2 linked regions of the Arabidopsis thaliana genome follow. The protein of the gene in region 2 interacts with the protein of the main gene of each other region in a pairwise test. Each region holds a gene or a part of one and is shown on either strand. Other genes may lie near its edges. The genes, in order: AT5G24000 and AT2G05755.

Evidence for each region.
Region 1: the proteins of AT2G05755 (region 2) and AT5G24000 interact in a protein complementation assay, tested with the Arabidopsis thaliana proteins (one large-scale study listed by BioGRID).

Annotation. Positions count from the first base shown.
Region 1 is NC_003076.8:8,105,237-8,121,944, forward strand, and holds AT5G24000 (keratin-associated protein (DUF819)), read right to left. Parts: upstream 7,540-16,708; 5' UTR 7,457-7,539; coding exon 7,188-7,456; intron 7,119-7,187; coding exon 6,892-7,118; intron 6,710-6,891; coding exon 6,599-6,709; intron 6,370-6,598; coding exon 6,211-6,369; intron 5,880-6,210; coding exon 5,638-5,879; intron 5,468-5,637; coding exon 5,144-5,467; 3' UTR 4,949-5,143; downstream 1-4,948. Other genes in the region: FRO5 (ferric reduction oxidase 5), read right to left, coding at 329-471, 590-1,314, 1,403-1,640, 1,776-2,103, 2,220-2,454, 2,755-2,934, 3,025-3,121, 3,201-3,354; AT5G24010 (Protein kinase superfamily protein), read left to right, coding at 8,674-11,148; MIND (septum site-determining protein (MIND)), read left to right, coding at 11,495-12,475; SLAH3 (SLAC1 homologue 3), read right to left, coding at 13,382-13,769, 13,854-13,885, 13,975-14,745, 14,932-15,477, 15,587-15,757.
Region 2 is NC_003071.7:2,162,260-2,179,382, reverse strand, and holds AT2G05755 (Nodulin MtN21 /EamA-like transporter family protein), read right to left. Parts: upstream 8,624-17,123; 5' UTR 8,479-8,623; coding exon 8,275-8,478; intron 8,071-8,274; coding exon 7,917-8,070; exon of another isoform or gene 7,916-7,916; coding exon of another isoform or gene 7,871-7,915; intron 7,754-7,870; coding exon of another isoform or gene 7,665-7,753; intron 7,603-7,664; coding exon 7,428-7,602; intron 7,206-7,427; coding exon 7,090-7,205; intron 6,993-7,089; coding exon 6,933-6,992; intron 6,811-6,932; coding exon 6,672-6,810; intron 6,570-6,671; coding exon 6,503-6,569; intron 6,340-6,502; coding exon 6,268-6,339; intron 6,178-6,267; coding exon 6,112-6,177; intron 5,890-6,111; coding exon 5,737-5,889; 3' UTR 5,440-5,736; downstream 1-5,439. Other genes in the region: AT2G05753 (uncharacterized protein), read left to right, coding at 7,447-7,537, 7,665-7,753, 7,871-7,915; AT2G05752 (uncharacterized protein), read left to right, coding at 8,855-8,938, 9,019-9,174, 9,274-9,342, 9,696-9,896, 9,995-10,078.

The sequences.
Region 1 (16,708 bases), on a different chromosome or scaffold from region 2:
TTTCATCAGAGGACTCCAGCAATAGATCTGCACTTTGGTTCAAGCTCACTTACCTTGATACTGCTTTGCTCCATCAGGATCTTCGGTAAGCTCCATCAGCTATTTCTGGTTACTTCTTTTTATTTTAGTTTCAGTTTATTCTTCTTAAGATTTCTAACTAAATAGACATACTAAAATTTATTTCAAAGAAAAGCTTCATAGTAATAATAATCAATTTACCAACAAAAGAAGAAAAAAATAATTGAAAAGCAAACCATCTTATATCAACGGTTATTACGATGAATATAATAAAAAAAAGCAAACATATATAGTTAGAACATGGAATAGATCACCAGTTGAAACTAATTGCCTCAAAGTGAAGGTTCTTAGCCAAACCAGATGAACATATTTTTGCAACTTCATGTCTCATCTTTTTTGGTCCGCAAACCATCACCCCAACGTCTTCCGAACCCTCAGCCTCAAATAGAATCTCTGCAAAACGATAAGGCTTAAAGTATCAGCCTCATGCATGAATGCACATTCATTTATACCATTTTTGTTATGTAAGTGATGATATAATGTGGACTCTAGGTGGTAATAGATTACTTACTTTTCAGATTAGGTTTGGAGCCGAAGTGGACTGAAGTGGCTTGTACTATAGATTGATAGGGTACGCTCTCGAGCTCTCTCTCGTGGCCGTGAAACCATGAACCTGGAGAAGACGTGGGTGTCTGAAACTCTACGCTCTGTACCTGCTTCTTGGAGTCCTTATCTCCTTCTTTATTTTCTTTCTTGCGCCACAAGAAAATTATGCTTGACGAGATGAAAATGCACACACATCCTAGGAACATGACCCAAAGCACTCTATACGTGAAATTGTAGATCGATCCTGTGTTATGGTCAACAGGGTATATATAGTAACGTGTGACGATCCCTATGAGCAAGAGAAACATGACGAATGATGATAAGATCACAACTCCGAGCCAAAGGAAGTTGTTGGGTCCAAGAACAGGTGAGATAGGAGAGTCTAGAGGCTGCGGTTTGAACCATTTTGTCTGAAGAAGTTTGTGATCATCAGTTGTCTCGGGCTTCTTGTCTTCTCTTGTAATATAAGCCTCAATTCGGAGATTCAGCTTAGAAATGTCTGAGACTGATATATCTGAAGGGAAGATTAGGTCTAAAAATGCAAGATCGTGGTAATTTTTAAAGGCACAAACAAGGAGAACATTTGGTAGCTTTGTGCTCCGGTTTTGGCTCTGAAATATGAGTTCCCTGATCACGGAAATGAAGGGTGTAACTCCGCTACCACCGCCCACTAGTATTAGAGAATCGTGCCTATATATGATCAGGAAGAAAACAATTAGATATACTTAAGATAAAGTAGTTAAGTAAGGAACTTAAATAAGACTTTTGAAATTTTTACCTCGAGACATCAAAAGAGTTAGGGCCATAAGGACCTTCAGTAGAAACTTCGAGAGAATCAATGGAAGAAGAGAGATGTGTGTAAAGTTTTTGAGTCCAACTTCCCTGTTTTCTGATTACAACACTTAGTGTATCTTTCTCCAAGTTGCTGCTCGAAGTTATTGTGAATGGATGCCATTGAAGCTTGGAAATGCTCGGCACATGTAGAAACAATATGCTTGTTGGTGTATAATGTAAACCTTAAACATATACCAAAAGAAGTTTTCATTACATTTGCGTTTTGCGTTTGTATTTCTAGTTGAAAACGGAATATCTGTTGAAAGAAAAACCCTAAACTATTATAGTCAAGATAAATGGAAGAACTAGTTGTAAACCTGAAGTTTTGGCGAAAGTGAGTTCAAGGTTGTCTGAAGGTAAAATCTTAGCGGAAACAAGTCTGGATCTCTTGGTAGATTGTAAGAATCTCAAGTAGCGGTCTATGAAAAAGAGGAAGATGTTTGGCAAGATCATGCAGAACCATGAGTCTCCCACGTGGATTGCGTAGAAGACTATGTAGAGACCGTAGAGATGGTGAGTGTAGAAGAAAATTTCAAACTTCTTTCGTCTAAAGGATGGTAAACTCGTCACCCAAATCGCTATTCCAATCACCATCGCTATTGTTCCGGCCAGATTAGGCACATATGTTGCATTCCATGCAAACGTCTTCACATATATAAGAAATCGTAAAAACAAATATCAGTTGGAATAAAAGAAAGAATGAAAGTTTTGTTTTGTTTTGTTTTAAGGATAAGATTAAGGTAGATGCATGTAACACGGACCTCCATCAACTTATTGACCATGGCCCAGTAGATAAGGAAAACGACTGTGTGAACGAGGAAGCAAAAATTTGAGACATGTCCAAGCCAAATGTGATATTTTATGCTTGACTCCGACGTTAACCCGACAAGTGGCAGGATCGTAGAGGCTCTTGTCACCGGGAAGAACAAAAAGGCCCAGCAGTAGTGGCCTACGTAACCTATCCTCAGTCCAAAAGCCCTAAACTTTGCCTGCCATCTACACATGTCACGCAATATTAAATCAACTCCCATACCCTACGGATTTGGTACCTAGATACTCCAAATGGTAACTTGGGAGTGAAGCAATTCATCAAGGTATAAAAAATGGTAGTGCCAAAAAATGCACTAGAGGTTTTGGTGTGTTCCATATGTTATGTTTCACATAGTATAACCTTGTGAGCAATCATGATCAACGAGTGGAGAGACACATATCTTATATAGATAGATGTTATGTGGGATATTCCAACAAACCATTCGAGCATATAAAGTTAGAAGTGAAACAAATTAAGAAGCTTACATTTTGGCGTTGTCATGGTTATGAAGGTGGACGTGATAGCTAAGGTAGAGATAATTGGAGAGAGCCCAAACTAAAAGAGCCAGGAACAACAGAGAAAAAGTCAACTCTGTGGCTGTCACTATCCCCAATGGGTTCATAACCATCATCACCCTCCCCATTCTCCCTTTTACCTTCCATTCTCTGCACTTATACAAACAAAATTGTGATAATTTTGTAACAAATTTTACAAATATATATCGTCAATAAAAGTTGAATTATAACAAGTGGAACCTTTGAGTTTGGGAGGGTTGCTTTTGGGTATGCAAATAAACACAGCTCAGAACCGCAATGAACATCATTGGAACCGTGAGTAGCACAAGATTCATGCCTACACGTACATGATAAAGGAATACTCAAAGATGAAGGAATCAAAATTTTAATGCGAGAATAAATAGAGAAGTTAATACCTTGAGGACCAAAATAAGTAGTTTTGAGATACTTGGCGAGTTTGGGGGTCCATATGTTTTGGAAACGATTAGTTGAAATCATAATCCAAACGAAAATCCATCCAAGAAACAGAACCACCATTAACATCTTCACTAAGCTTCTCATATTCCCCATTTTGTCTTTTATGTTATTATCCACAATATACTTATGTAAGTGTGTGTTTTATGTGTGGAAAGCTTTTTGGATTTGTTATTTATAGCGGATTATCAGGGCAATAACGTAATTGTTTAATTAATATGTAACGTGTTATATTATACATGTCTAAGACGTGAGAATGCTTCCCCTGCTTTTATTTTATATCTTTTCTCCCAAAAATTATTTGCTGGCAGAGAACTTTCACAATGTAATGTATAATTACATATACATAACTCATATATCATACATGTATGGCCAACAATTTGTATAAGAAAACCATATGGGATACATGTTTAGCCAAACATGGATCAGTTTATGCAATTGAAAGCGTTCTTTTAATCAGATTTTGTATTCAGTTTCTATATATAGATTTAGTTCTTCATGAACTCTACAATATATTTGGGACAATTATATTTCGATCTGTGTTGGGATGCATTATTTGGATGCAATTGCACAATATATTGTTTGTTTAACCAATTCACACTAATATATCAACATAAAAAGATATTTTATACCAATTACATTTAGAATGGTCTTACTAATTCATTTCTGTGAAATCTTCATTTTACTTTTAATAAAAGAAAAATCACGAGTTTATAGACGTGAATTTGTACGAAACTCTTAAAAACGTACATGATAGTTTCTTAGATATGCCCCTTGGTCTAAAAGTGTCACACATATTTGCGAATAGAATACTTGTGAGTTGAGAGCAATGGTTTGATAATTATTATATATTTCTACTCTACAACAAATACTGCCAAATAGAAAAGCAAGAAATGTTATCAAATTCAAATGTATGTTACGTTTAAGTAAGAGTGAATCTCGTTGAAAAACGTTTATATGATTGTGTAAATATCTATATAGATATAAAATGGATAAAAACGAGAAGTACAAGATGGTTCCAACTTCCAATCAAATCAAAGTATCTTACTAACTATTTTAAATTTAATTAAATTATAAAATATTAGTTAGGGTTTCGTGCGTAGAGAGTTGAGATAATGAGATTTGAGAACATTCTATAAGGCATGATTCATGCATTTACAAATTGGTACTTGTTGTACTACATCTTTACTTATTCTTAGCTAATATATACTTTATCTCCGCATTAAAAAAATATCATATTACACTATCCATGTCTTTTATTGGCTAAATTGGGCTCTCCATATCAATATTATGGAAAGAGCAGGTGTGTCGAACACATACTAAAGACTTTGTTCGGACCTCAAATCTAAGTCATGCATGTGATAGGTACATTGCATATTTTGTTTTTGGAATCGAAAGTTGCAAGTAAACGCATAAATTTCCAACCATGCTAATCTAAGTTTCATAGGATAAATCAAACAAAGAAGGATGAATCTAGCACTACTTTTGGTTACAAAATATTTGGAATCAATAGAATCTTATTAATATGGTAGAGTTGACTTTTGAGATTGATATGGGAAAGTACAGTTGACTTTTAAATTACGATCTCAAGTACGGTTGACTTGTATTGAAAGAGCGGTACAATAGTACAATCAACCGTACCACTAGATGTATATTAGTATTAGTCAACTAAAAAAAAATCTACAGACAAATTTTATTTTATATTTGAACAAGTAAAGCTCGCAAACCAATGTAAAATGGTTATTGTTTATGAGATAAATGCTTGTTTTGTATGAAAACACTGATAATTTGGAAAACAAAAAGATTTAAAATTTGTTGAGAACAATTAGCAATTTACAAGAAGTCTAGCTTCAGAATCCTCCAATCATTAGAACTGTTTAGAAATCTATAATCGTTTGAGGACAAAAACTCCACATCCAATGCCTAGAAAAGTTGCTATGGAGACCCCAAAAACACCAGAGAGAATCCCGGGGACGACAAGAGAAGTCCATCCTTTTGCGGTTGCCATGGCACACGCAGTGGTTGGGCCTCCGATGTTAGCATTTGATGCAAGAAGTAATAGCTTCATGTCGATACAGAATAGTTTTCCTAGAACCAAAGTCACTGCTAGATGAACCATTACTTGAATAGCAGCAAATAAGAAGATACTTGGGGCAGTGTTGATTACATTCCATACACTCCCTGTGGCTCCTAGAATTGTGAAAAATACCTGAACAAAAAAGATTCAAAAACAAACCATGGTCTGAAGTCCTCGGGCTTAATCAGGGATGGGCTTTAACAATGAGAATAAGGGCTCAAAACGGGTCAGACATAGCCCATTTTGCCAATGACATGTCTAATTGGTTCTAAATAATGGATAAAGTGTAAAGAAAGAGATACCTGCATGAGAATGAGAGAGATGGTTTCAGCAGAAGGTGCCAGAGAGTTGAAGAAATCAGGGAAGGATGTTGCCAAGACAATGGTGATGGCTGTTACTGCAGGAAGCATAACTCCTTGTATCTTAAATAGCGTCGTCAACGTAATTGCAGCTTTGCATATCAGGAAGGAAACTGATAGTGCAATTGAAGTTGAAACCACTCTGTTCTTGTCCTCGAGCTTGTCATCCTTAGTCATGTCAGCATCTGCCAAAGATCACAAAAACTTGAATAGTAGTGTTTATATGTGGATGCAAATGCAGTTAGAAGATGAGAAACGTTATGTAATAATGTCAAAACTCAAAAGTATTGAAAACTTATTATCAAGTCTTAATTTGATAGGCACATTATATGTATTAATAATAACTATCTTTACCAACATTCACTCAAATCAATTTGACAACTAACCAAGTAGCCCTAGAGTCACCAAATCCTTAGTTGGTCCGACTATTCGCCATAAGTTCTTTAGTAATCCTCTCACATTGCAACATACTTACATACCTTATATATACAAAATGTGATCAAGATGGAAGTTTACCAGGGGAAGATGCTGAGGCGGTCTCAGGGGGTATCTTTGAGGCCAACGCAAACAAAACCATGAAGTGAAGAGCACATATGACATTATCCACAGCTACACCCGCTGCTATAACAGATGGAGATATCTGTAGAGCCTCCGATATCGCAACAAAATTAAGGGCTGCAGAACAAAAAACAAGAACCAACAATTTTATTCTCATTCCTCTTGAAGAATCCATTCCCAAGTTGTGATAAACATCTTACAAGCCAATTTAGCAAGATTTTCCTCTTTTTTCGATAAACGAAAATCAAGCAAAGCTAGAATCTTTTCGGCTAAAGAAGATAAACATTGAGTACCTCTGTCTGTAAACAAGCCAAAGAAGCAATGAAGGGGCTCCAGACAAACTTACATCCACCAATGTAACTCCCCATAAGAGCAGCTGCTATTTTCCAGTTATCCGGACCAAGCGATCTCATCGGTACCAACATAAAAGCCACCACTGTTCCAACAATCGTCGCAACTACAACAAACCAACTCACAAATTAATAAACCACTCAACACATCATCAATAACAATGTCACTTCACAATCAATCTTTTTAACTAAAACCACTCAAAGACATAAACTTTTGTTAGTCTTAAGCATGAATCCAAACTAATCCCAATCCAAAAACTTGCCTTTAAGCAAAAGACTAAATCTTTACCAGATCCAATTAAGAATGCAAGAAGCAATGATCCAGTAGATCGGATAATACGACGGAGATCAGCTCTAAACAACAACAATGGAATCGTATGCGGCAAGAGAAACTCCATGAAGAAGCCATACGACGGCGTTTCAAACGGAATTAACCTTAAATTGCTAGCGGCGAGCCCAAGTAACGTACTTGTCAACGCACCACTCACCATACTTCCAATTTTCGTCTTCTCCGACCTAATGAAGTCGGTAATTTCATCAGTATACAAAACCCTAGTTTCAACAGAGAGGATTGAGGTGATTTACCAGACACCGAAAGCTCCGGCGGCGAAGAGAGCAGCCCATTGTGACCAGTGATCGTCTGGGGAGATTAGAGGGAATCGTAGTTGTGAGTAGACCTTCACGCGCCGGCGTCGAGATGAAACAAGACGATGTGGAGTGAGTGTTACCGGCGGCGATTTGTTACGGCGTATGGTTATTGATGATGATAAGTGGTGGCGGGAAGGAGACACGTGGAGCGATGAGATTGTGGGGGACAGTGGATTTGGTGATACCACTGTGAATAGAAGAGCCATTGCACTTTTTAGATACACCAATTAATGTTTGAAGTCCCATATTATACTTTTGGAAACTTATTTTTTTTGTTTCCTTATTCGGCTAAACAAATTTATTGAGATATCAAATTGACGAGAAGCATATTAATATACCACATAATGAATATGATAAAAGTTTAAAATAAAATTTAACAATATTTTTTTTCTAAAACTTTACTCTATTTTCTATTTTTGTAATCTATTTCTTGATACGAAAAAAATAACAAATAAGAAATAAATAAAATCGATAAAGAAAGTAACATAACATAGGAAGACGAAATATATAAGAAGAAAATATAATGAATAGTATGAAAAAAGAAAAATAGTAAAAAAAAATTATGATTAGCTTCGTTTGGTGGAATTCTCTTCTTTTTAGTGTTTTCATGTATTTTATTGTCTTCTTGTTTATCAAGAAAAAGAAGTTAATCTAGACTTTGATAAAATGATGGATCATGGATGCCCATAAAAAGAGTACTTCTAATTTTTTTTCTATAACTTTTTTAAAAAGGATGCATTCACTATAACAAGGTTTGTTGTATGAATAAAATTTTACATACACTCAGAAAAAAGAAGAAAAAAAGAAGAAGAAGAGTACTTCTAATTTGGTGACAGATGCTTCCTTATATTTCCTTCTAATTATTAAATTAGTATCGTTTAGGTCTATTGGAATTAATGAGTGAAATATTAAACCTTGCCTACAATACACTAATTAATTTATTTTTTGTAATAATGTGTCGGTCCAAACCTTGTTAGTTACGCAATTAATACCATAATAATCACACCACCTACGATGAGTTAATCCGTAACACCACAAATTATATCTCAAAACTGTTTCTATCTAATTCAAAAATGAATCAAACATCCCTACTCATAGCGTACACAAATGATTAACTAAGAATTACCAAATCAGTGAAAATCAACTATATTTAATAGAAAGCAAAACTTTTTGAAAATGATTGCCACCGAATCACAAACAAAATCAGGTTTAAGCTTCCTTTGGTTTCCCATTGCTGTTGACAAACTTCGCTGCCTAATGATTTCACAAACACTTTCTCTTTCACTTACCTTTAGTGGGAAAAAAATACGAATACAGAGAAGTGACAGCAAAAACCCACTTTCTAGTTTCTCCATCTCTTCTTCTCTTTAATATCATCAAACCAAAACCTTTCTCAAACCTTCCCCAAAAAAGCTTCACTCTAATGGCGTTTCCAATAAATCTAACCCAAACCCTTCTCTTCTTCTTCTGCCCTCTTCTTCATCTCTCTTTCGCTGCTTTCACTCCAACTGATAATTATCTCATCAATTCCGGTTCTAACACCAATACATCTTTCTTCACAACCCGTTCTTTTCTCAGCGACTCTTCAGAACCTGGCTCGAGTTTTCTCTCCACCGATCGATCCATCTCGATTTCTGACACGAACCCATCTCCAGATTCACCCGTTTTGTACAACACAGCTCGTGTTTTCCCCGTCGGAGGATCATACAAATTCCAAGTCACTACCAAAGGCACTCACTTTATCCGTCTCCATTTCGCGCCTTTTAAAGCTTCGAGATTTAACTTAAGGTCTGCTAAATTTCGAGTTTTGATTAATGGGTTCTCTGTGATTAACAGTTTCAGTACTAGCTCCGTCGTTGTTAAAGAATTCATACTCAAAATCGATGACCCTGTTTTAGAGATTTCGTTTTTGCCCTTTAAAGCTTCTGGATTTGGGTTTGTTAATGCGGTTGAAGTGTTTTCAGCACCTAAGGATTATATAATGGATCAAGGAACGAAGCTTGTGATTCCTAACTCTGCTCAAATCTTTAGTAACTTGTCATCTCAAGTTCTTGAGACTGTTCATAGAATCAACGTTGGTGGTTCGAAATTGACGCCGTTTAATGATACGTTGTGGAGGACTTGGGTTGTTGATGACAACTATCTTCTCTTGAGAGCTGCTGCTAGACGTGCTTGGACTACTCATTCTCCGAATTATCAAAACGGTGGTGCCACGAGAGAGATTGCTCCGGATAATGTTTATATGACTGCTCAGGAGATGGATCGAGATAATCAGGAGTTGCAGGCAAGGTTTAACATTAGTTGGGGGTTTCAGGTTGATGAGAAACGAGTTCTTCATTTGGTTCGTTTGCATTTCTGCGATATCGTTAGTTCGTCGCTTAATCAGCTCTATTTCAATGTCTTTATCAATGAGTATCTTGCGTTTAAGGATGTTGATCTCTCCACGCTTACTTTCCATGTGCTTGCGTCTCCGTTGTACATTGATTTTGTTGCGGAGTCTGATCGTTCTGGAATGTTGAGGATTAGTGTTGGACCGTCTGATCTTAGTAATCCGGCGAGAGTTAATGCTCTATTGAATGGAGTTGAGATCATGAGGATTTTGAGCCCTGTGAGTTCTGAAGTGGTATCTGGAAAGAGGAATGTTGTCTGGATCGTGGTTGGCTCGGTTTTGGGAGGTTTTGTGTTCTTGTCGCTGTTCTTCTTGAGCGTTTTGTGCTTGTGCAGGCGCAAGAACAACAAGACGAGGAGTTCAGAGAGCACGGGATGGACACCTTTGAGGAGGTTTAGAGGCAGTTCCAATAGTAGAACAACTGAAAGAACTGTTAGTTCTAGTGGCTACCATACTCTGAGAATCTCGTTCGCGGAGTTACAATCCGGAACCAATAACTTTGATAGAAGTTTAGTTATCGGAGTTGGCGGATTCGGGATGGTTTTTAGAGGGTCTCTTAAAGACAACACCAAAGTAGCTGTGAAGAGAGGCTCTCCTGGTTCAAGACAGGGCTTACCAGAGTTTCTCTCTGAGATAACCATTCTCTCTAAGATCCGTCATCGCCATCTAGTTTCACTTGTTGGGTATTGCGAAGAACAGTCTGAGATGATTCTTGTTTATGAGTACATGGATAAAGGACCACTCAAAAGTCACTTATACGGATCCACCAACCCGCCTTTATCTTGGAAACAACGGCTTGAGGTCTGCATTGGTGCAGCCAGAGGACTTCATTACCTTCACACCGGTTCTTCGCAAGGAATCATCCACCGGGATATCAAATCCACCAATATCTTACTAGATAACAACTATGTAGCCAAAGTTGCAGACTTTGGACTCTCAAGATCCGGTCCTTGTATTGATGAGACACATGTGAGCACCGGTGTAAAAGGAAGCTTTGGATATCTTGATCCTGAATACTTCAGAAGACAACAGCTCACGGATAAGTCCGATGTTTATTCATTTGGTGTTGTTCTTTTTGAAGTTCTTTGCGCTAGACCCGCTGTTGATCCGTTGCTTGTTAGGGAGCAAGTAAATTTAGCAGAATGGGCAATAGAGTGGCAAAGGAAAGGGATGCTTGATCAGATCGTTGATCCGAATATCGCAGATGAAATCAAACCGTGCTCGTTGAAGAAATTCGCTGAAACCGCAGAGAAATGCTGTGCGGATTACGGTGTAGATAGACCGACAATTGGCGATGTTCTATGGAACTTAGAACATGTGCTTCAGCTTCAAGAATCCGGACCATTGAACATTCCTGAAGAAGATTATGGAGATGTTACCGACCCGAGAACGGCTCGGCAAGGTCTGTCTAATGGCTCGAACATAGAGAGAGACTATGGAGATGGAACTTCAGGCATAATCAGTAGCACCCAAGTGTTCTCTCAGCTAATGACCAACGCTGGGAGATAAATTAAAGTCATTGCTATATAGAGCAAGTATTTATCATAGTCATAGAGTACAATACCTAAACCGGGAAACCAAAGCGGTGTACCGGTATCTCAGATTCGGTTCGTGTTTGGTATAATTTTGTTTGGTTTCTGTAACTTGTAGAGCTATGATTGTTCATTTGATATGGATGAATCATAAACCGTTAAAACCAGTACATTATTTGGTTAAATATTAAACCGGTTAAGAGTGGAGAAATTAAAAACCGGAATCTCAAAAGTTCTTGATAAACCGTAAACCCTGTGAAGCCACAACGCTCAGAAACATTTCTGTCTCTGTGGAGACAGCTGAAGAAGCAGCAGCACTATCAATGGCGTCTCTGAGATTGTTCTCAACGAATCATCAATCTCTTCTCCTTCCATCATCTCTCTCACAAAAGACTCTAATATCTTCACCAAGATTCGTCAATAACCCTAGCAGACGGAGTCCAATACGATCCGTTCTTCAATTTAATCGCAAACCGGAACTCGCCGGAGAAACGCCGCGTATCGTCGTTATCACCTCCGGAAAAGGCGGTGTTGGAAAGACGACAACCACCGCAAATGTCGGTCTCTCTCTCGCTCGTTACGGTTTCTCAGTTGTCGCCATTGACGCCGACCTTGGTCTCCGTAACCTCGATCTCCTCCTAGGGTTAGAGAATCGAGTCAATTACACTTGCGTCGAGGTTATAAACGGAGATTGTCGTCTCGATCAAGCTCTGGTACGTGATAAGCGTTGGTCGAATTTCGAATTGCTATGTATATCTAAACCTAGATCGAAACTTCCGATGGGATTTGGTGGTAAAGCATTGGAATGGCTTGTGGATGCGTTGAAAACTAGACCGGAAGGTTCACCGGATTTCATCATCATCGATTGTCCTGCAGGAATCGATGCCGGATTCATAACCGCCATTACTCCGGCGAATGAAGCAGTTCTGGTAACAACTCCGGATATAACAGCGTTAAGGGATGCTGATAGGGTTACGGGTTTGTTAGAATGCGATGGAATCAGAGATATAAAGATGATTGTGAACAGAGTGAGAACTGATATGATTAAAGGAGAGGATATGATGTCAGTGTTAGATGTGCAGGAGATGTTGGGATTGTCATTGCTTGGTGTAATTCCTGAAGATTCTGAGGTTATTCGAAGCACGAATCGAGGGTTTCCGCTTGTTCTGAATAAGCCTCCTACGCTTGCGGGATTGGCGTTTGAGCAGGCGGCTTGGAGACTCGTTGAGCAAGATAGTATGAAGGCTGTTATGGTGGAGGAAGAACCTAAGAAACGTGGCTTCTTCTCTTTCTTTGGCGGCTAAATGGCAAACGGATCGAACCGAACCGAACGGTACTGAACTGAACTGAAACTTCTTCCTCGGGTATGTATGCATTGAAATCTTTTGTACAGGAGCTAGAGATTTTTGAAGATTTTGTCTCTTTTGCTTTGAGAATTTAGATTTGTTCCTAGGACAATGTGGAATTCTACTGCTAGTTTGTTGCTGAGTTCAAGCTCTGATTCTTATGCCTTTTGTTCTTGAGGTTCTTGATTTCTGTTTCTGTAATCTGTTTATGTTAAAATTGAGAGTTTCCAATATATCTCAAGTTCTTATGTCAAATCGTTATGATGAGAACTTCAATAGCTTAGCTGATCTTATCAGAACTTTTCGCGAGTATGAATTCGGTAGCTACTGGTTTGGTGATGATTTTGCTGGCCCTTTTGTACTATGTAGGCTTGAGTACTAGTGCTGTCTAGCTTGGTATTATGCCATTTGATTCTCTACCTTCTTGATTTATCGATATGGCGGTGTCGATTAAGTTCCCGAAATAGAAATGATTATGTGATACTGAAGCTCTTAGAGGGCTTAGCTGATAGTAGAACCAACATGATCGCGTATCATAATTCTGATGCTATTTATACAGTGATAACCCCTCAAAACTTTTTATTTATTGGAACAAAACAAGTATACATGCTCTTTGAAGTATTATGATAACTGCTAACAGTTCTGGTTTAAGAGATACTGGGTCGTTTGGATTGGTTCACCATTGTAGACAACCCCTCCCGTTTACTTAATACTGCTTTAAACACATGATCATTAGAACCACAGCAACAATTACGTTACTAGGTTCCTCACTTGTGTCAGAGACACTGACAACAAACCAAAACCAAAACTTCGGATACGACTCTGTATTAGGGGTTATGAAAACTTTTTTCGTGATTCTCCAATTTATGATGAATCACTCTCTTGAGTTTTGCCGTTGCAAGCTTCTACATCATTACTCTGACTGCTGTCGGAGTCTGTGAATTTCAAGTAGTTCTCGATGTTCTCTGAGCTTACGTTTCTCAGTTGGTCAAGCCACCGGTGTTGGCTATTCTGTTTGGGTCTCGGACGGTTGCTGATGGCTATGGCGAGGTCATTGGGAAAAAGATCTCGGAGGACAAAGGCGTGGATAATGGTGGTCACGAGCAGTGCGAACACGACTAACGTTGCAATGGCACATAGGACCACACACATGATTTGAGTCATAGTGCTCTTAACCACTGTTGCGTACCTGATGGTAGCAATTGCAGCTCCGGTCATCGGAAAGGTGTACGCCCACCAGGACAGCGAAAATCTATGAGAAAAAAAAGTGTGAGAAAGTTGAGCTAGCGAATAACTAAAAATCAAACAGTAATAAAAGTAATTTTCTTAATCTTACTTGATTCCCCTGAAGAAATTGATCCGAACAGCCTATAAATCAAAGAAAGGGAAAATTTGTATTAGTAAATACTTTTCTGAAGAAGGAATATATATACAGCTAAGTTATATGTAAAACGTACCAATGAGAAATAGAGGAAAATGGCGATAAAGTAACAAACTTTGGAGCCATAATCGAAGGAGCCAGTGACCTTAGCCCAAGCCATGGAAGCAACACTTGGAGCCGCAACGAAGAGGAAGAAGACAGGATGAAGATCTTTAGGCAAAGTCTCGTTGGTCGGTAGCCTTTGGTAGAGAGTCACGAACAGAACCAAGTAATGAGCCATCCCAACAGCATAGAAGAATATAGGGCCTTCTCTAAGCCCCATGGACGCACCAAGCAAGGCCCCAACAAAGTTCCCAACGACCGAGAGATGGTTGGTCGGGTTGGCGACCCGGGAGAGCCGTCGTTGACCACCGGACATCCACTGACCGTAGATCTTAAGCTCAAGACAGATGAATGGAAACATGAGGAGGTACCAAAGGAAATGCGGCAAATCTGTAATTATGGAAGGTGGGACACCGAGGGCAAGGAAGAGTAAAGAAATGAAAGGAGCAAAGAAGAAGTTGATTCTGATTGGATGGTAGTATTCGCGGCGTACGGCTTCGAAGAAAAGGATGATCTTGAGGAGGTAGATGGTGGCGATAGTGAGGATCAAAGCCACTGAAATGAACCATAGACCCTGGTTGATCCAGAGGGGTACGTGGAGGAACTTGGTTGGCTCTGCAGTGGCTAGGGTTTTCCACATTATGGCTTGGCTGCTCACTCCTAGGCACATACCGAAGGTGGAAATGGGGTAACGGAGAAGAAACGGCCACTTTTTATCATTTGGTAGAACGATCTCTTCTTGAGGCTGCGACGTAGGAAAAACAAAAGAGAGTTATAATTGAAACATGTCACTCGTTAATAAAAGAGAGTTATAAAACGTGTCACTTCTGACTTCTAGTAATGATATATTTTCGCAAAAAGGTCATTAAAACAATTTACCACATGAATGCAATTCAAATGTAAAAGATACAAAAAAAACGTAGGTACGTACCCGTAGGGTCTCTAATTCAGGACCTTCTAAGGCGTCATAGTAACGGTCCACAGGCATGGCTTCATTGGTATTCAAATTTTGGTTATTCCGGTTTGGTGCCTCCGGTTCAACAGAAGCTGGTTTTCTTGTGAATTGTCTCTCAAGTTTCCCCGACCAAGTCTTGAACGAGTTGTACCTGTTGTCTTTAAGCTTGTTCGCAGCCTGATTTTGATTTTGATGATGACCACTCTGATGTTGTCGATGAAGATGATGATGATGATTATCATGGCTTTGACGACGATCATCATCACCATTACCGCTTTCTATGTAGAGAGATGAGACTTTGGTCATCGGCTGAGAGAGAAACTTGACGGATTTGCCAGTCGACCCACTGTTCTTGTGGTTTTCGGAAGACAAAGATGTTGTCGGGTCGGAGATCATGAGAACATTTGGTGAAGTTGGCATTGAAATTGATGGTTTTCTTTGATGAGTCCATGGTGTTGTCTCATTGTAGTTATGATGATGAGCTTCCATTGTGTCTATTGATCTTGATGTTTCTTGACCATTCTGTACATATAAATATATGTAACATAATTGTCTCGGAATTAGTTATATAATAAGTTTATAACCTAATTTTTGCGAGTGTGGAAAGTGATAAATAAAATATGTAACATACCAAAGTAGTCGTGGAGGCATGCGATGGATGAAAACGACTGATTGAGTGAGGAAAAGGATGACCATTCTCTTTGTAATTGTCAAAGCCAACCATTTCTTCTGTTGTGGCTTTTCTCAGTAAAGTTGGAAGCTCTTCTTCTACTTGTATCACATAGTTTGGTTTCTCCTCCATTTTTTTCTTCTTTTTAATTTCCTCTGTAACATCCAAATTGTTTACGTATTAATTGACACCTATAAAATTGAATTTTCTTTTTAATCTATAGTTAATTAATATTCTAACTTGACTTGTATCATTGATTCATCATTAACACAAAAGATTGATGAGTATAGCCCTTGAAGTCAATATATAATTTTTTTAGATTGTTGAAAGCATATGCGAAGGAAAACAAAATATATATTATTCACAGTAAAAGGACTTCTAGCGAGTTCTTGATTCATTAGAATTTTACCTATTCCCTTCGCAATTGCTCTATAACATGGTTTGGAAAATGAATTTGGGATTTATATTTTCTAAAATCATAAACTAATAAAATCTAGTGGTTTAATTAGGCCGATAATTAAATAAATCTGACCTAAATTCTCCACATTTAAACATCATACCTAATATACATTTTGCAAAGTCTAGTGGTGTTGCCACTAAGCTGGTTTCCCAGCTGTATAGAATTAGACTATACTTAGTCACTTACCCTATATTTATTGGAAAATGATGCATGTTATCGGCTAGAAAGAAAAAAGAAGGCCACTATTGTTTGTTTATCCAAAACAATTGCACTTAAAACCTATAAATACTAGTGTGCATTTGGGCGCCTTTGAGAATTCTCCTCAAATCAAACAACAATCATAAATAGAAAAACAAGAAAGCACAAAGAATAGAATAAATACAGTTTTCTCTATTTTTTTCGTTTTCGAATTTTAAGCTTTCCTTTTGGTTTCTGACTTTGAGTGGAGTAAATTCTTTGAATATTTGTTTAAGAGAAACTATAATTTTAGAAAACCAACAAAACTGTAATTTTAGAACTGCATTAATAAACCCTTTATTGCGATGTTCCACGTCAATGATCAAAGCTAAACCAATCTAAAACATCGCTGTTTCAAAAAGTCGTAGGTAAAATCAAGACTCCCA
Region 2 (17,123 bases):
TCCGGGAGAAAGAGACTGCGTTTTTAAACAATTAAGTTTACAAAAAAATTCTTAAACAATTACGAAGAAGTAGAAACAAACTCTCATGCTCAATAACAAGCAGATAAAAAATAATGCCACTTACACAGAATGTTTTTGTAAATTATTCCTAAACAAAATAATAATCTTTTTTGGCAGATTAGAGAATTTGTTTAAAATCTTTTAACTAAAAAAGAAAGAAAAGAATTCAAATGAGGTAAATTCAAAAAGTCTTCATGAGTTTTTTGGAATCATAGATATCCTGGTTATATATTTTTAAAAATTATGTTGAGCCAAACGGTAAAAACATGACCAAAACGATGTTGTTTGGTTTGTTGAATTGTACACAAAAGAAAAAAAGTTTGGTTTGTTGAATAGACGCTTTGGGACCAACGTCTTTCGATTATTGATCTAATTGGCATTTAGTCAACACATATTAGTATTGACTTAATTACGGCGTTTAGGTCAATACAATTTTGCTTGATTTTATTAGTTCATGTAGGTACCAGCTTTTTTATTGTAGTCGTAGGGCAATTTTCCTTTTGGGTGATTTAAAAATCTATACAGGAACCATCAAATAATTAAGAATCTATACATGAAGATCATTTATTTAGGTATCTCTTTTCAACTAAAATCTATATGACAAATATACCCCTATAAAGAGATATGATAAAACTCTGGATAGTTAGCAGATAACGCATTATCGAGATAATATTGTTAGCGAAATATGGATAGAGTTTGATGCATAGATGAAATGACATGGTGTACAAACCTACTTAATATGTTAATAATATATTTGAGGATATAAACAAATTTTCAGTTATTGAACCAATGTTTAGATTTCAAAGACACATATATATGCGAAGATGATAACATTAATATTAAAAGATAACAAAATATTTAGCATGAAGGCCAAAAAAGTTGACTTGCGACTGAATAATCATGTAGAAAAAATACAAGCATTAGAATAGTTAGCAGATAACGTATTATCGGGATAATATTTTTAGCGAAATATGGATAGGATTTTGATATATGGATGAAAAAACTTAAGGTACAAACCTACATAACATGTTAATAAAACAATTGACGATATAAACAAATTACCGGCTATTGAACCAACGATTGATTTCAAAGATTATATAATTATCGGAAGATAATAACATTATTATTAAAAGGTAACAAAATATTTAACATCAAAAACAAATAAGGTATAGGGGTATAAGAATATTTTCTTGATAGAGAGAAGGTTCAACAGTAGTTTTTTCTAACACTTAATTTTGTAATTTTCTATTAATTTTGTAATTTTCTATGTATACAGAGTGCAATTTCCCTTCTTTCTTTCTTTTTTGTTGTCGAAGAGTTATCTACTCTATGTGAATATTATCAAGTTGGCAATAGTTTGTGAAATAATAGTCCATTTTCCCTCGTGTAATACATTTTATAACAATAAACATCATTAACAAACGAAAAGCATGTGAAACATAAAAAAATAAGTATTATCATATATTAAACTTTCACGTGATTGTAAGTAACAAAAAAGTGAAGAATAATGCTTAAGGTGAAATAGACTCACAAGTCACAACTTCGACCATACGACGAAGCAATTTAGAGCAGACAATTTCATAATCAGTTTCTCTTTGAACTTTCATCAGCCTTATTTATAAATACTATATCCTTAGCCGCATGCGTAATTTTATATTTTTATTAAAAAATTTAAATTAATAATTTTTTAAGAGTTTGATTACGGATATTAAATAAGATATTAATTTAATTTTAGTTTGAGTTTTTTTAATGCATAAGCTACGTGTAATTATTTTAGAACAGAAAATCCAACAATCTTATATCTATCATAAAGTCTCCGTTCCATAACCCGTCCCGTATACCAGTGACGGAGGTAGAGCTATAACATGGGGGTCAATTGACACCCATGGATTTTTAAACTTACGTTAGTTTTGATTAGTTATCATAAATTGACTCCTTTACAAAATAAAATTTGACTTCCATCAAATTTTAGTTTAAGAGAAAACCACAAAATATTTATTATATATCAAAAGTATCCTTATAATTAAACTCATTGCTCTATTTCAATTACAACTATCCATTGAAAAACATGGTTGAAAGTAAAATTCTTAAGTAAGAATTTATATACTTTTTAATTTGACGTAAAATATATTGCTCGTATATCACAAAGAAAAATATGTCTCATCTTTTAATTTATTTATTTGAAAATTATTTTTGATTTTTTTTTTTTTGCATTACATACTTTAAAATGACGTCACGTAATACATATCGTTGATAGAATTTTATATAATTTTCTAGTTTTTTAATAAAAAGTACTTAACACTATGACAAACGAAATAAAATAAAATACTTACATGATTAATTCTATGAGTAAAAAAAAACATTATATATAGAAATTTATTTTTTCTTAAAAATTTATGTACTTTTTGTATTAAATAATTTGACCCCCATAAATAATTTTTCTGGCTCCGCCAATGCCGTATACAGAAAATAAAAATATTAACATTCCGTATCCATCGTAAATAGAATATGTGTAATAAAATACATACGTGTAGGTTATGTGTAAACAAATTTAATTTATATAATGCTTATAATTTATAAACCCGAACTCATATCAGTTAGGTAATTTGTTTAGTTTTCAATTTAGTTTCAATCTACGTTTCCAATCTATGATTATATATAATGTCCTTTTAGCTATCTTCCGTGATTGATTCATATTATGTCGAGGTTGATCTCAAATCGGTCGTACTATTTACAATCATCCATAACTCTTCCAAACGATGCAGTTTAAATATGTACGCGGCGATGCACATCCATATAAATGCATGATCTTTACCTATATGAGTAGCCAATTTCCTCATGAATAGATCTAAAAAATTATTAACATAAAACTATTTTAAACTTTCAGTAATCATACCACAATAAAATACCAAATACTTTGAAATTAATATGTATAATTTATTGTTTAAATATTTTAGAAACTCGCTGTAAATGAAGATCATAATGATAATTACTTTATTTTTTTTTATCGTTTGATCTTAATAAATAGTAAATATAAATCTTGGTTAATATATATCTCGGTTTTTAGAAATTGTGAAATAAGTTTTGTTTTATATTTTAAAATTTGTGAAAATATCATAACAAAATTGAATCTTAAAAATATTTGTATTAAGTTTTTACAAATTTAAATTCAATCATAAAATCCTCCATTGAATAAAAAATTTAAACAATCGTGTTTTTAATTTTGAATTAAAATGATAATTATTTTTATTTTCATTTTGAACTAACTGATAATCAGACCTCCACACCAATTTGTTATCAACCCAAAATTCTAAAAATTGAATTTCTTTATCAATGGCAAATTATGATTTTTACTAATGGTATCAAGCAAGTTTTATGCTTTTTTTTATAGTAAAAATTAGTTTCCAAAATGTTAATTAAATCTTATAGTTACTGGATATCAAATCTTACCTTTTCAATTTTCATTGGTTAACAATTTTTTAAGAATTAATTTAAAAATTTCGTCCATAAATAATAAGAGAGATAAAATGAGTTTAATTCTTTTAGAAACTAATAATTATTTAAAAGTATTTTTTGATTTTTATTTAAATATATTAATTTTGTAATTACTATTATATCATTAATAAATTAATATAAAATACTAAAATTAATAATCTATACTATTAATTGAGAATCATTGAAAATAAACAACCTTATGAAGGATAAAATATTACATAGAATGCCATTGATTGTTAGTGTTTTTAAATTAATTCATCAAGGATACAATAGTAATCACAAAATTAATAGATTTAAATATAAAAAATGGTAATATTCTTTTAAGCAATTATTAGTTTCCCAAAATTAAACTCACTTTCTCTTTCCTATTAATTATGGACGAAAAATTAAAATTTGTTAACCAATAAAAATTGAAAAACTAAGATTTGATATCAAATTATATTATATTATTAAACTAACATTTTGGAAGTTCATTTTTATTTAATTTTTTTTAAATCATAACACTTGCTTGATACCATGAATAAAAAATCATAATTTGTGATAGATAAATAAATTCAATTTTAGAATTTTGGGTTAAATATTTTGAAATATAAAACAAAACTTTATTTCAAAATTTCTAAAAACGAGATTAGATGTTACAAAGATTTATATTTACTATGAATTAAACAAAATATTAATTTAAAATAATTATCATTATGCCTTACATTTAGAAATATCTAAACAATAAATTGTACATACTAATTTCGAAATATTTTAGATTTTATTTTTTTATTTTTTTAAATAAATCCATAATATATTATTGAACAAACTTTTGAAATAATGTAAACTAATTATACATTTTTCATTCAAAACAAATTATCCAGCAAAAATAAATTGTTTTATAGCTGTATTTCAAAATTTTAATTATATTCCAAAAATCCAATTAATTATGATTAAACAAGAGAAAGAAGAATATTAAAAATGTAGCTAAGGAAAAATTATTACATTTGTTAAAATATAGTTTTTTACAAAATTATTTGTTATAATGCTATTCATATTTTGAATTTGAAGAAGGAAAAAAATAATTAAAAAAAAGATATTTGTGTGTTTTAATGATATATTTGTAAACTTTAACATCCTATATGTTAATCCGCAAAACTCAGTCATATATACATTGGTATTTAAAGGTAAGCAAATAAGAATTTTAGAACGTACTTTTAATGGAACGAAATGAAAATATGAATTATAAGACACAAACGACATGAAAAGTAGAATATTAAAAATGTAGTATTTTTATGAGCACTATATAAAATAAATTTGTTTACACACATAACCCTGCATGTACGTATTTTGTGATGGTTACAGGTTGGTAGTATTTTTATTTCACATATATAGACGGGGTATGGGACGAAGAATTTATGATAGATACATCACAGGTTTTCTATTCCAAGAAATATAATACATTCCAAAAAATTTATATTTTGTACGTATATGAGAGTTCAGATATCTAATACATTGTACTATAATATATATCACAAAATAAAAAAATAATCTACATTGAATTAAAAATATGAAATTCCGCACGTACGTGCGGATCAGGATGTAGTATTTTATATAACAGTTTACTCTTCAATTATTAGTGTAGATATATAATCAAAAACTTGAATATAGTATTAGGGAAGCATAAAATCTTTTTTTGTTCAAACCCGTCGGTCCTTTTAGCGGCCACCGACTGTTTTTGCATTGAAAAAGATTCCAACAAATGTTTTCTTTTAGAGGGAATATATGCTTCCAATTTTCATATTTTATTGAAAACCACTAAGAAGTAAAGAAGTGTGTTTAGTTCATTTTTTTTTTTGGTACAAGAAACATAGAATCTGAGCCACATGTAAAGTTGGAAAGAGGGTTTGAGTATCTATCTTGTAATACAAAAATACAACAAATTCGATTCTCTTGGAGTGAAAGTGTTTTGAGTAACAACTTAATATGGTTTATGCAGCTAATATAGTTAGTTAGCAACATAAACTATACTACATTATGACCAAAACTAATCAACACAACAAACAAAGTGCTGTCATACATTGGTTTGGCAAACGAAAATCAATGAAATTTTATACTCAGAAATGTGAAATGGGGAGTGTGGCGTTTGCATTGCCTCAAACAAGAAGCATAGTAAAAAAATGAGAAAAGAATGGAACACTTCTATGGTATTGATGACTCAGTATCTTTGGCAGGTCCGATGTAAACTGTGTAGCCTACCGATAGGAGAATGAGCAAACACCCAACAAGCCGGCTAAACAAACCTGGCGATCCTGTTTTTCCCGTGCTGACTAACCATAACTGCGATAAAACCACCTAATACGAGAAAGACACTAATTAAAAACTAGGTCTTTCTGATTTATCACTATGCTCTAATCCTGTTCAAACCATCTTTAATCTTAACCAAACCCAAACCAAAAAAATCAAAGAGAGAAATGAACTTACTAAACAAAAAAGAGTGTTTTTATTGCATAGCTTAAGAGTAAAAAGAGAAATAAACCGATAAAAAAACTGTCTTCTATGGAAGTGGAAGTCTACCTCGATGTACAATACGTTAGCAGCTTTGCTGATTTTCTCAAGCTGAAGACCACGTGCCAAAAGTACCTTAAGACAAAGGAAAAATATTCTCAGCAGTCGAGCTATGCGAGTTACCTACACAAATGTGTAGAAGCAGAATGTTACCGAATGCCTCACCTCTGCGCAAAACGCTAGCAACCCTAGCACAATCATGCTAACGAGCGTGTCAAATGCTGGCAGCACGAAGCTCTGTATGAGAAAATTCAAAGTTATGGATCATGAGTATGAGTAATGATCAAACAATAGATCAGTGACTGCGTTATACATTTGGTGCAGATAATGCATTTCTTGGTTTCCTACATCCATATCATATTCCCTTTGAACATACACAATATATATTTACAAAACATACCTCGAAGGAAAACATGCAAATTGCTGTAGCGGGGCAAGCTACCAAGCCAAAAGAGAGGACAGTAATCCTGTGAAAATGCACATCATTTGTTTATCCTTCCTAACAATAGAATTTTCGCTAAAGAAGTAAAACATGTGGGTTGATGACACATCTGAATCTTAAATCTCACACTGGCTGTTCCGATGCTTTAGCGGCTGCCTTTATGAGACAATAGGTGATTCCTCCAGTGATTGATGAAAATAAACCCAACAAGAACGCATAAATATGATGGTTTCCTTTAAGGTTTTCATTCTTTCCTTCTAATCCAACTGCCAAGAAGAGATAAGTAAAATCAACATGACATATTCGTTTCCTCATGCATAAAGGACAGCCAGGAGAAGTTTTATTAAGAGAATAAATAGAGAACTATTTTGTTAACTCACTTCTGTACCTTGGACAGTAAGTGTTGGGCCAAAAATAAAAAGCACGCCAAAGAAACTGCAAGCAAGACCTGGACCAAAGCGCAGTAAAAGAGAAGTCATATATAGACTTGCTTTGTATGCATACAAAATCATATATAGTTAAGGATGATGAGAAAAGCTCTGAACCTCCAATATCAGTTATTTTCAACTTCTCATGCATAACAACACGTGCTGCAATGGAAGCCATAATTGGATTCAAGAAGCTTAGTACAATAGCTTGGGACAACGGCAACATTTGAATGCTGTGGTTCACAATGTCAATTAACAGTGAAAAACAGTGTTAGAAGTCTTACTTTGCAACGAATGACACATTGATTGGTGGGGAATGGACATTGTTTCTAATAGCAATTTCAGTTCAAATGATATACCGGTCACCAGTATATAAATTTAACAAACCATCTTCCCGAGAAGCTACTGAGAGTAGGTTATCCGTACACAGGGAGCAGAGTGTGAGATGTAATTACCTAAAGATGAAACTAAACAATGAAAGATAACCCACGAGGGCTCTTGAAACCAAAAGCTTCCTTGCATGAGCAGGTCCAAATATCGGTTGCCCAATTCTTTTCAACCAAAGGTATGACAGTATCAAGATAATTGTGCATCTCATGAACGCGGTCTCAAACAAAGGAATTGGCTGAACTGTCACAAACAAAGGAAATTAGAAAAAAAAAAGTCTATCAATATACTAATACACCTGTCAGCTCAAGGCAACACTAAGGTTAGCACTTGCACTCATCTAAGGAGAGATTCCATTACAACTAGAAAAGACAAGTTCTTAGATAAGTCCACTGTTTCAGAATCAAACATAGATTCTCCCACCATATGAACAAAGCAAAGATAATTTCAACATTTTCTAGCCTTCCCATAAAGCTAACTCTTTACACAAAACCATGAAACTGAACACAAGGACGAAATCACAGGATACACCATTGGAGAGCTAAAGAAGTACTGACCAGAAAAAGTATCTGAAACTAACTCCATGATCAGATACAATGTAGATGACAATGCCATACACAGTAAGCCAGAGTAACGAGAACCACTCCAAATCCATGAAGAAAACTGAGTTACAGGTGATATCTCAGTTTCAGTCACTTTAATCACTTGCTCCTACACACATCACAATTCAAAATCATTCTTACTTAAATCTGATCACAGTTCCTGTCAATCACCTAATTCTACAAATCTAGCAACATAATTAGCAGAAACTGAATCCACTCGCAATTCCATTGAATCAATTTCGAATCGAATTATCGAAATTCAGCTGAATTGTTCATGAATTACAACCATTGCAACGAGAGGAGCTGTTCTTACACTTGGTTTGCGTCGAGTGTAGGAGGCGGAGAAGATGTTGATTCTAGGTCTTTGGTTTTGATTCAGGAGAGGGATAATTTCGTCGGAAGATAATTCAGGGGCGGAGGAGGCGCTTTCTAACGCCGTAGATTCTAGATCGCGAACGGTAAGCTCAAGGGAGAGGTGTTCGTCGGCGATTCTGGTCTCCGGAGACGAAGAAGCCATGGCTACGAAAACAGAATCTAACAGACGAAACGGAAAGATAACGAAGAGTCAAAAGACGACGACGTTTCAAAATAGATTGTTTTAACGTTTGCCGTTAAATGCGACGTTAACTTCAATGACTTTTCATTTTTTTTTTTTTTTTTTTTTAAAACAACTTATTTTCATTCATTTAAATCAAACCAAACCAAGTACAAAAAAGGATAACACAAAAATCATAAAGTTTAAAATACAAACAAAGAAGGCATTCCTCAATGCCAAATTATGATAGATAAGGTGAGACGACGGTGAATTCATGAAAACTTTGAGACAAAGGCTATTAAGCGTTTTGAGACATGTGAGGTCATGGCTAGTCGAATGATCTTCCACGAGTAAGTCAATGGGAGACAAATTGGTCAAGGTCAAGAGACGAGGTGACGTTGAAGATGGTTTCATAACCGAGGTTCTCGCCGGCATGAGAAGGGTGAGCTTGAGTTGCTCAACGGCAAGGAGTTGGTTGACTATGGTTCTATGGTCGGTTAGGTTTGGAGATAACAAGCTGAGAAAGCTTCGGTAATCACCGCTCCATTGAGACGGGATCATGATGCCGTTCTTCCTCAACCTTGTAACCTCATGAATACCAATATTAAAGTTGTTGGATCGAACTTGCTTGATTTCAGTAAACCGAGGAAAGGAGGCAAAAAGATTGGAGAAGCGTCGGTAATCATCGCTCCGTGGAGACGAGATCATAATGCCGGTTCTCATCAATCTTTTATTTTCAAGAGCAAGCGATGAATATTCAGGATTTTCCTCATAAAGAATGGAAGCTTCTGTGTAGTACCGATAGCTATGAGTCTTAATGTTGCTATTGATGAGAGATTGCTTAAAGTTGGTAGCAAAATGTGTCAGAGATAAGTAATTTGTGACGCTTTGGTGACAACAGTCACAACCTCGAATTATTAGAATTGAGAACAAGATACCTATCACACTCAAACAATTGATTTCATGATCGAAGACCTTAGGTGAAACTAAAGGCAGAGTTCGCAAAGAATTCTTAAGCACCCATATAAAAACTGGTACATAACGGTCCATTTGACGTCCATTATCAAGTGGTGCCGATAAGTGATTCAGTATTTTACTAAGAAAAAACAAAGAATAATTTAGGTCAGACCTGGGCTTTTGTGTATGAAGGTTTGGATCACCTTTAATAAACTTGGGCTTTCGACATTTTAATGGGCCAGACTTTAAAAGGTCCACCAGTTGTAAACCTAGATTCACCATTGCTTGGTAAACGAAGGTCTTGGGTGCCGCCGCTGTTGTACGGAGATGAGGAGGGACTTCGCGGTGGAGCGAGAATCTCCGGTGATGATAGGGTCATGGTTTGGATATCTTGGCTGAGAAGTGAGGCGAAAGAGGAGAACCAAAGGAACATGGCCGTTCTGGTAATTGAACTCGAATCCCTGAGAAGAAGCTCGCCGTGGTGAGGGAAATATTTTCGGGAAATCAAGCTCTTAGTTCGATAAATTTGTGGTTCAATCAGGGAAAGCTTCCGCAAGGGTGGTGCATGTTGAGGATGAGAGATGGGAAACGCCGGACACCACCTTCTTCCTTTATTATTGATTGAGGATTTCACCGTAAGCTTAAGGGTTGAAAGGGCTAAAGATGGTTTCCAAAAGGGGGAAAAATTAAGCAAAAGAGCAGAAAAAACTGAAAGACTAGAGAGGTAATGAGCAAATTGAACAGTGACAGTGGAGAAGTTCCGACGCCGGTGAACAAAAGCTCCACCGACGCCAGAGAATATAACTCGATAAAGGTTTTTGATAATCGCAGTTGGAAGCGTGAGAGAGAGTTTTTATCGGTTTACAAATTGCAATGACTCTTCATTTAGGCTGGATTATTAACATTAACTAGGTTTTGAGTTTATTTGATATATTTTGATGAAATTATATTTGAGTGATAATTGTTATTAAATATTATCTTATGTAACTATCATAGGTTGGTCTTTATTTTTTTAATTTCTATTAAAGATTTTTTTTTTCAAATACGAAATTCTAAAATTATAAAAATTATAGTGCTTAAGAATTAAATCTGATTAAAAGAATCACGAATCAATATTGTTTTCTTATATTCAAATTGCTGCCATCACTTATTTTTGTATTCTCTTCATATTTCTTTTTGTCATCTTCTTTTTTAATTTTTAATAGCCGTTGTCATTGTTATTTTCACTGTCCGCTTCTTCGCTACACTCTTCTTCTTCTTCTTCCCTTTCATCTTCCTCATTTTCTTCCTCATCCTATCCATCTTTTTCTATGTAAAATGTTCATTATTATATGGTTGAAAACAGAGCAAAAAATTTAAACTTACTAATCTTAACCAAACATACCTCAATCAGCCTATGAATTACATACATGAAATAGTCGTTCATTTAAATTTTCAAACTGGAAATTTGATACCTTTCTACCAAAACTTAATGTCATGTCTCCTACCAAATTTCAGATTATTCCTAGTATGTTTGGATGTTCGTTTGATGTCTCCACGGGACTGGTCAGATATGAAACTTAAAAAGAAATCTTCTCGATCAGGTTGAAGACGATTATAACGCACACACAAAAACGTTTAATTCTATATTTCACCATTCAACCTAAAGACATTAATACCAGGAATCCCTACATATATGAATTATAGTTGCTTTAAAGAGGTCATGTCGTAATTGTTTTCTCACTTTTCTTTTCCATGTCTGATAATCTGAGCTTGTCTTAGAGTGTCACAATCTGACCTCTACAAGAAAACAGTTTATTTCCTAGGGACCGATTCGTTAGTAAACCGTCGGAAACAAGCGTTTCAGACAGATTTCCGAGGGATTTTTGTCGTCGGTATGACGTGGTTGGAAATTATGATCCGTCGAAAAGTCCTCGCAAATATCCGAGGGATTTCCAAGGGATTAATATTTTTGACGGATTTGTGAGGACCACTATTTCCGAGAGATTCCCAAAGGAACAATATTTCCGAGGGATTTCTAAGGGAGTAATATTTCCGACGGATTTGTGAGGGCCATTGTCTCCGACGACTGTTGAGAAAATTTTGATGACATATTTTCCGACGGATATCCTAGGACTTATTATCTCCGAGGGTTTTTCGAGAGATTATTGTATCCTAGAATAATAAAATTATTTGGTTAATATTTTTAATTTATTGACGAAAATTACTTAATTTTCTTATTAAAAATATATCATAATTGAGCATACTTGATCGGCTTGTGATGAGAGGATGAATGGATCATATCCCTCGAGCCTCTTTCTCATGTGTATTGTTGTAACACTGAATTCGTCATGTTTTACACCATGTCAAATAATTGGATCATACCAATCACATGAGAAAACAATGCACCTCAAATTGATCATTCCTGGATAACGAACTTCTAAGATTTTGTAGAGGATATCATAGTATACAAGATCACTAGATTGTGCTGATACACCATAATCACAAGCCGGCCTAGTCTTTTTGGGTTGAAGAATCTTAAAAGCATAACCACGAGTACAATATATGGGATACGCTTCCACAACATATAATGGCCCATTAACAAACTCCATTAACCATGTAGGAATTGATTGATCTCTAGAAGACATAGATGTAACATGTAGAACGTATTTTATAATTTGTAAAAGTTATCTTCGCAAATTTATTATTTAGTAAAAATAAATAAGAAAAAGCTTACGTAGAATTTCAACCAGTTGCAAAACTCAGTCTCCTTGAGTTTTTGAACGTCATGTGGATATTCAAAGCGTATTTAACCCAAGTACATCCTGAAAATTAGTAATCATGATAAATATTAGCAATTTTAATTATTATATGTTACATATTAAATTTAGAATTTTAATAATTCACAATTTCAATGTTAAAGCTAAAAATTTGTACCTTTCATAATCTTTAAGCTCTTCACAATTAGTGATAATGTACATGTGCAAGTGTTGATGCTCCTCCACTGTTAGCCTTCGCTTCTTCGATTTCCCACTTAATCGACCAACTTTGGCAAATAATTTTGGGTCTAGAACCGGGTAAAAAGATCTCTCTCCACCGTCATCATGTCGAGCATGTTTCCGCATCTTTGTTTGGACGTGTTTTGGAAAATAATATTCGGAGAAGTGTGAGGTTTCTTCGTTGATGCATTGTGCAACAATAGAATCTTCGACTCTTGCCAAATTTTTCACTTTCTTCTTAAGAGTACTCATGTAACGCTCGAACGGATACATCCATCGATATTGAACGGGACCGCCAAGTGCTAATTCTTGTGGGAGATGAATTGGAATATGTTCCATCACATCAAAGAAAGACGATGGAAAAATCTTCTCAAGATTACATAAGATCACCGGTATATTTTGTTCCAACCTTTGTATCCCTTATGGAGTAAGTGTTCTTGTGCATAAATATCGAAAGAACACAATAATAGCTGCGTAGAGAAAGATAAAATGTTTAGATATAAATAAATATATAGTTAAGCATAAAAGAAAATTGTGTAATAATATACCTGCAATTGCTTTGTGTACGTTATTTGGTAGAAGATGCTCAAAATCAAATGAAGGAGGCGTTGCATAATGATATGACAATCATGGCTTTTCATTCATTGAAACTTCACCTCTCCCATTTTAACGTAGTTGCGGAGATTAGATGCATAGCCATCCGGAAATTTGACATCCATCATAATCCACTCTAAGAAAGCTTCCTTGGAAGCTTCATCTAATCGAAATTGAGGGGTTGGTGCTTTCCTATTTGGCATGACATGAAGCTTTCTTTGAGAACATATATCAGGCAAGTCTAGTCTAGACTTCAAGTTATCTTTTGTCTTTCCTTGAACATTAAGTAGGCTCTGCATGATGTTATCAAAAAAGTTCTTTTTGGTATGCATGACATCTAGAAAATGCCTCAACAAAAGGTCCTTCCAATATGGCAATAACAAGAAAATACTCTTCTTGTGCCAATTATGAAGATCACCATATCCATCAACAGTATCGTGCCCGACACCACCACAAACCGATGTTTTCTCAGCACCAAAATCTCTTAACTGGTCATCATGTCCTCGCCAGAATACTCAGGAGGTGGACCATCAAAGACTTGTTTATTCTAAATAATGTAGTGGTCTAACGATAAGGATGGTCTTCTGGGAGCCATCTTCTGTGACAATCAAACCAACACGTCTTCCGTCCCTGTTTCAGCTGAAATGCGTCGGTGTTATCTTGAGAATGCGGACACAATAACCGTCCGTGCGTTGTGCACCCAGACAACATACCATAGGCTGGAAAATCACTTTTAGTCTGCATTATCACCGCTTGCATGTTGAAATTTTGGTGGGCTGAAACATCGAACGCGTCTACACCATGTTCCCATAACATTTGTAACTCATAAATCAATGGCTATAGAAACACATCAAGTGCTTTCTTGGGATGATCTGGACCAGGAACAAGAATGGTTAGGAAAAGAAACTCTCGTTTCATACACAAAGATGGCGGAAAATTATAAGGTGTCACAATAACTAGCCACAATGAATACTCCCTTCCATGCTTTCCAAAAGGATTAAAACCATCTGTAGACAAACCCAAATAAACGTTCATTGGCTCATACGCAAAGTTAGGATACACTGATTGAAAATGTTTCCATGCTTCTACATTTGATGGGCGCGCTATTACACTGTCTGATGTATATTCAGCATGCCATCTCATTGATCCTGTTGTACGCTCTGATTGATACAACCTCTTCAACCTCTCTGCTAAAGGCAAATACCACATCCGTTTATATGGTATGGGAACTCTTCCACTAGTGTCCTGATACCGAGGTTTACGATAAAAACGACATGAAGTGCGGCCTTCGTCTTCTCTCCAATAAATCAAACAATTATCACTGCACACGTCTATCACCTGATATGGCAATCCAAGTCCAGCTATAAGTTTCTGCACCTCATAGTATGAAGCTGGTGAAAGATTATGTTCCAGCAAAATTTCTTTCATAAAATCAGTAATCGCATCCACACAACCGTCAGCCAAATTTAGTTCCGTCTTTATCTCCATCAACCTAGTTTCAGCTAAGACATATAAGCTGCATCATACAAAGACATATTAGCTGCATCTAACATATCAAAGAATCTCCGAGCTTCTATATTCGGTTACTCTTCTCTATTTCCATCCTGAACAAAAGATGGTGCATTTCCCTAAATGCATCGTTCACCATCTGAAATGTGCTTACGTCTACTTTCGTTGATGGTTCCTTTACAGTACCCGAAATATATTGTTGACTACTACTACCATAATCTTGCATTGATTCACTCTCTCCATGCGAATACCATATCTATAACCCGGCATAAATCCATTCTTAAACAAGTGCCTCTTTACTACAATTACCTCGAGATTCTTATTATTCAGACAATTTGGACAAGGACATAACATAGTATTTGTTTCTCGCATTATGTTCTGGATTGATGCGAATGACATGAATTCCGTAAGACCTTCTTTGAAATCTTCTGTAAGTTTGCCCGTCTCTCGATTGTATCTAGGTTTATCCATCCATGAACTAAAATAATTATAAGGATCTGGAGAAGACATTTCTGTTGGTATTGTTTCTAGTTTTTTTCTTGTTTTCCAAAGATGTAAATTGGTTGGAATATATAGGCAAATTTCCGAGAGATTTCCTCGGGATTTCCGAGGGTTTTGAATTTACAACGGCTATTCGAACGAATACATCAACGACTACGTTCGAACGGCTATATTCACCGATTGGAAATTCCTCGGAAAAAAACAACGGTCAAAATGTCCTCGAAAATCTCTCAAAATAGTACAACGGTTAATATATCCTCGGAAACCCCACAGAAAAGTTACAAATTTCCGAGTACATTTGTGACGGAAGTATATTTCTCCGAAATCCCTCGGAAAATGTTTAAATTTCCGAAGACATTTGCGACGGAAGTATTTCCGAAGAACTAGTTTCCACTCAAAAATTTGTCGGAGAACTGTCGGAAATGTCGTCAGAATACGCCTTGCTTTCTTGTAGTTTCTTCTTCTTCGCGATAATGACTTTCTTTCTGTATTTCTCTCTTGCTTGTCGCAATCCATCTACCTTTCTCTCTTTCTCCTTCAATTACCTTTATTACCTAGACTATAACGTCAATTGTTCATAATGCAAGAAAACTCTCATCAATTAAATTTATTATCTTTATTACGTCTCGTAAATTTATATATACAATCTAAGTTTTTTTTTTAAACCACGCAATAAATTACCTAGGTCATTAACCATACTTGCATTTATTTGTAGTTCACGTAAACAATTATCGCTATATTGGCCTAAACATCTTTCCAAAAAGAACTTCTTTGCAATGTATGTTCCTCCACTCCCACCAACACTAACTCCCTAGATTTATTAGCTTGTAACACTTTCTGGGCATAAGCGATTGATGTTCCATCTGTCAGAAACACTGAATAACCATTCGAAATAATTTTTTTTAGCATACCACACAACTTGTCCCAAGTAATTTGTATTGAAACTTTTCAAACCAAAATCCTTAATGTTACAAAATTACAAATTATTTGCGTAGGAAATAAATTGAACATGGTCATATGTGTAGATAATAAAACATGTCTGCTTGTTGTTGATCCTTCTTGTTTAAACCCAAAATTTTAACTCAAACAACATCAAATCAAGGTCTTATGTTTCATAACCGATATGAAGAAGCACAAACATCGACCAATAACGCTTGTCATCAATCCTTCTTCTTGAGACTCAAAACTTTTATGTTAATAACATCTTATACCAACACATGTTTTACAACTCGTCAAAGATATAAAGCAAAAACAGTCTGACAGCGAGAAAAGTATCCGTAGTGGCATATGCGATAAAAATATATATAAAGCGGCATTATTAAGAGTAGTAATCAGCCCCAATCGTGACAGATGACTCAAGTGTACAATTTATAAATTATGATCGAATGAGATGCATCTGGTGATTATATATATTGAAAAAATCTAGTGTTAATTGAAAATATTTTCCTATTAATATTTCTTTTTTTTTGAAAAAGAAGAAAATTAACAAAATAAAAATAAGAATATAAGTTTAATATATTCTATATATTATTTTCCAAAATTTTACATTTCTCTTTTTCATATATTATTTTTTCCGTTTTATAAATATCTTTGTACATAAAATAATAAAATTTTAAAATATTAAAAATATTCAGTGTGGTTGCTAACCATGACTGGTCGTTTTAAATCTCATGTAGACGGGCCTAGGGGTGTCAAAATGGATCAAAATTCATGGGTCAACTCAACTCAACTCAACTCATGAACCCTAATGAGTTGAAAATATTAACTCAAATGAGTTGATGGGTCAAATGAGTTATTGAGTCAATTGGTTTGATGAATAAAATGAGTTGGGTTGTAATGGTTTACCCAATTAACCCATCAAGTTTTGTAAAAATAAATTAAACCAACTAAAATCTCTAAACCAATGCCGATTTAAGTTTAACCAACACATCTAAACCAATTTAATACAATCAATATTTTTCCGAATTTCTTAAATATATAAGCAATGAAATTGAGAAGATTTAAACTCGTTGAGTTGAGTTGGGTTACCCATTTTGACACCCCTAAGACGGCCTTAAAAGCTTATCACTTCGACTTTTTTTTTTTAAG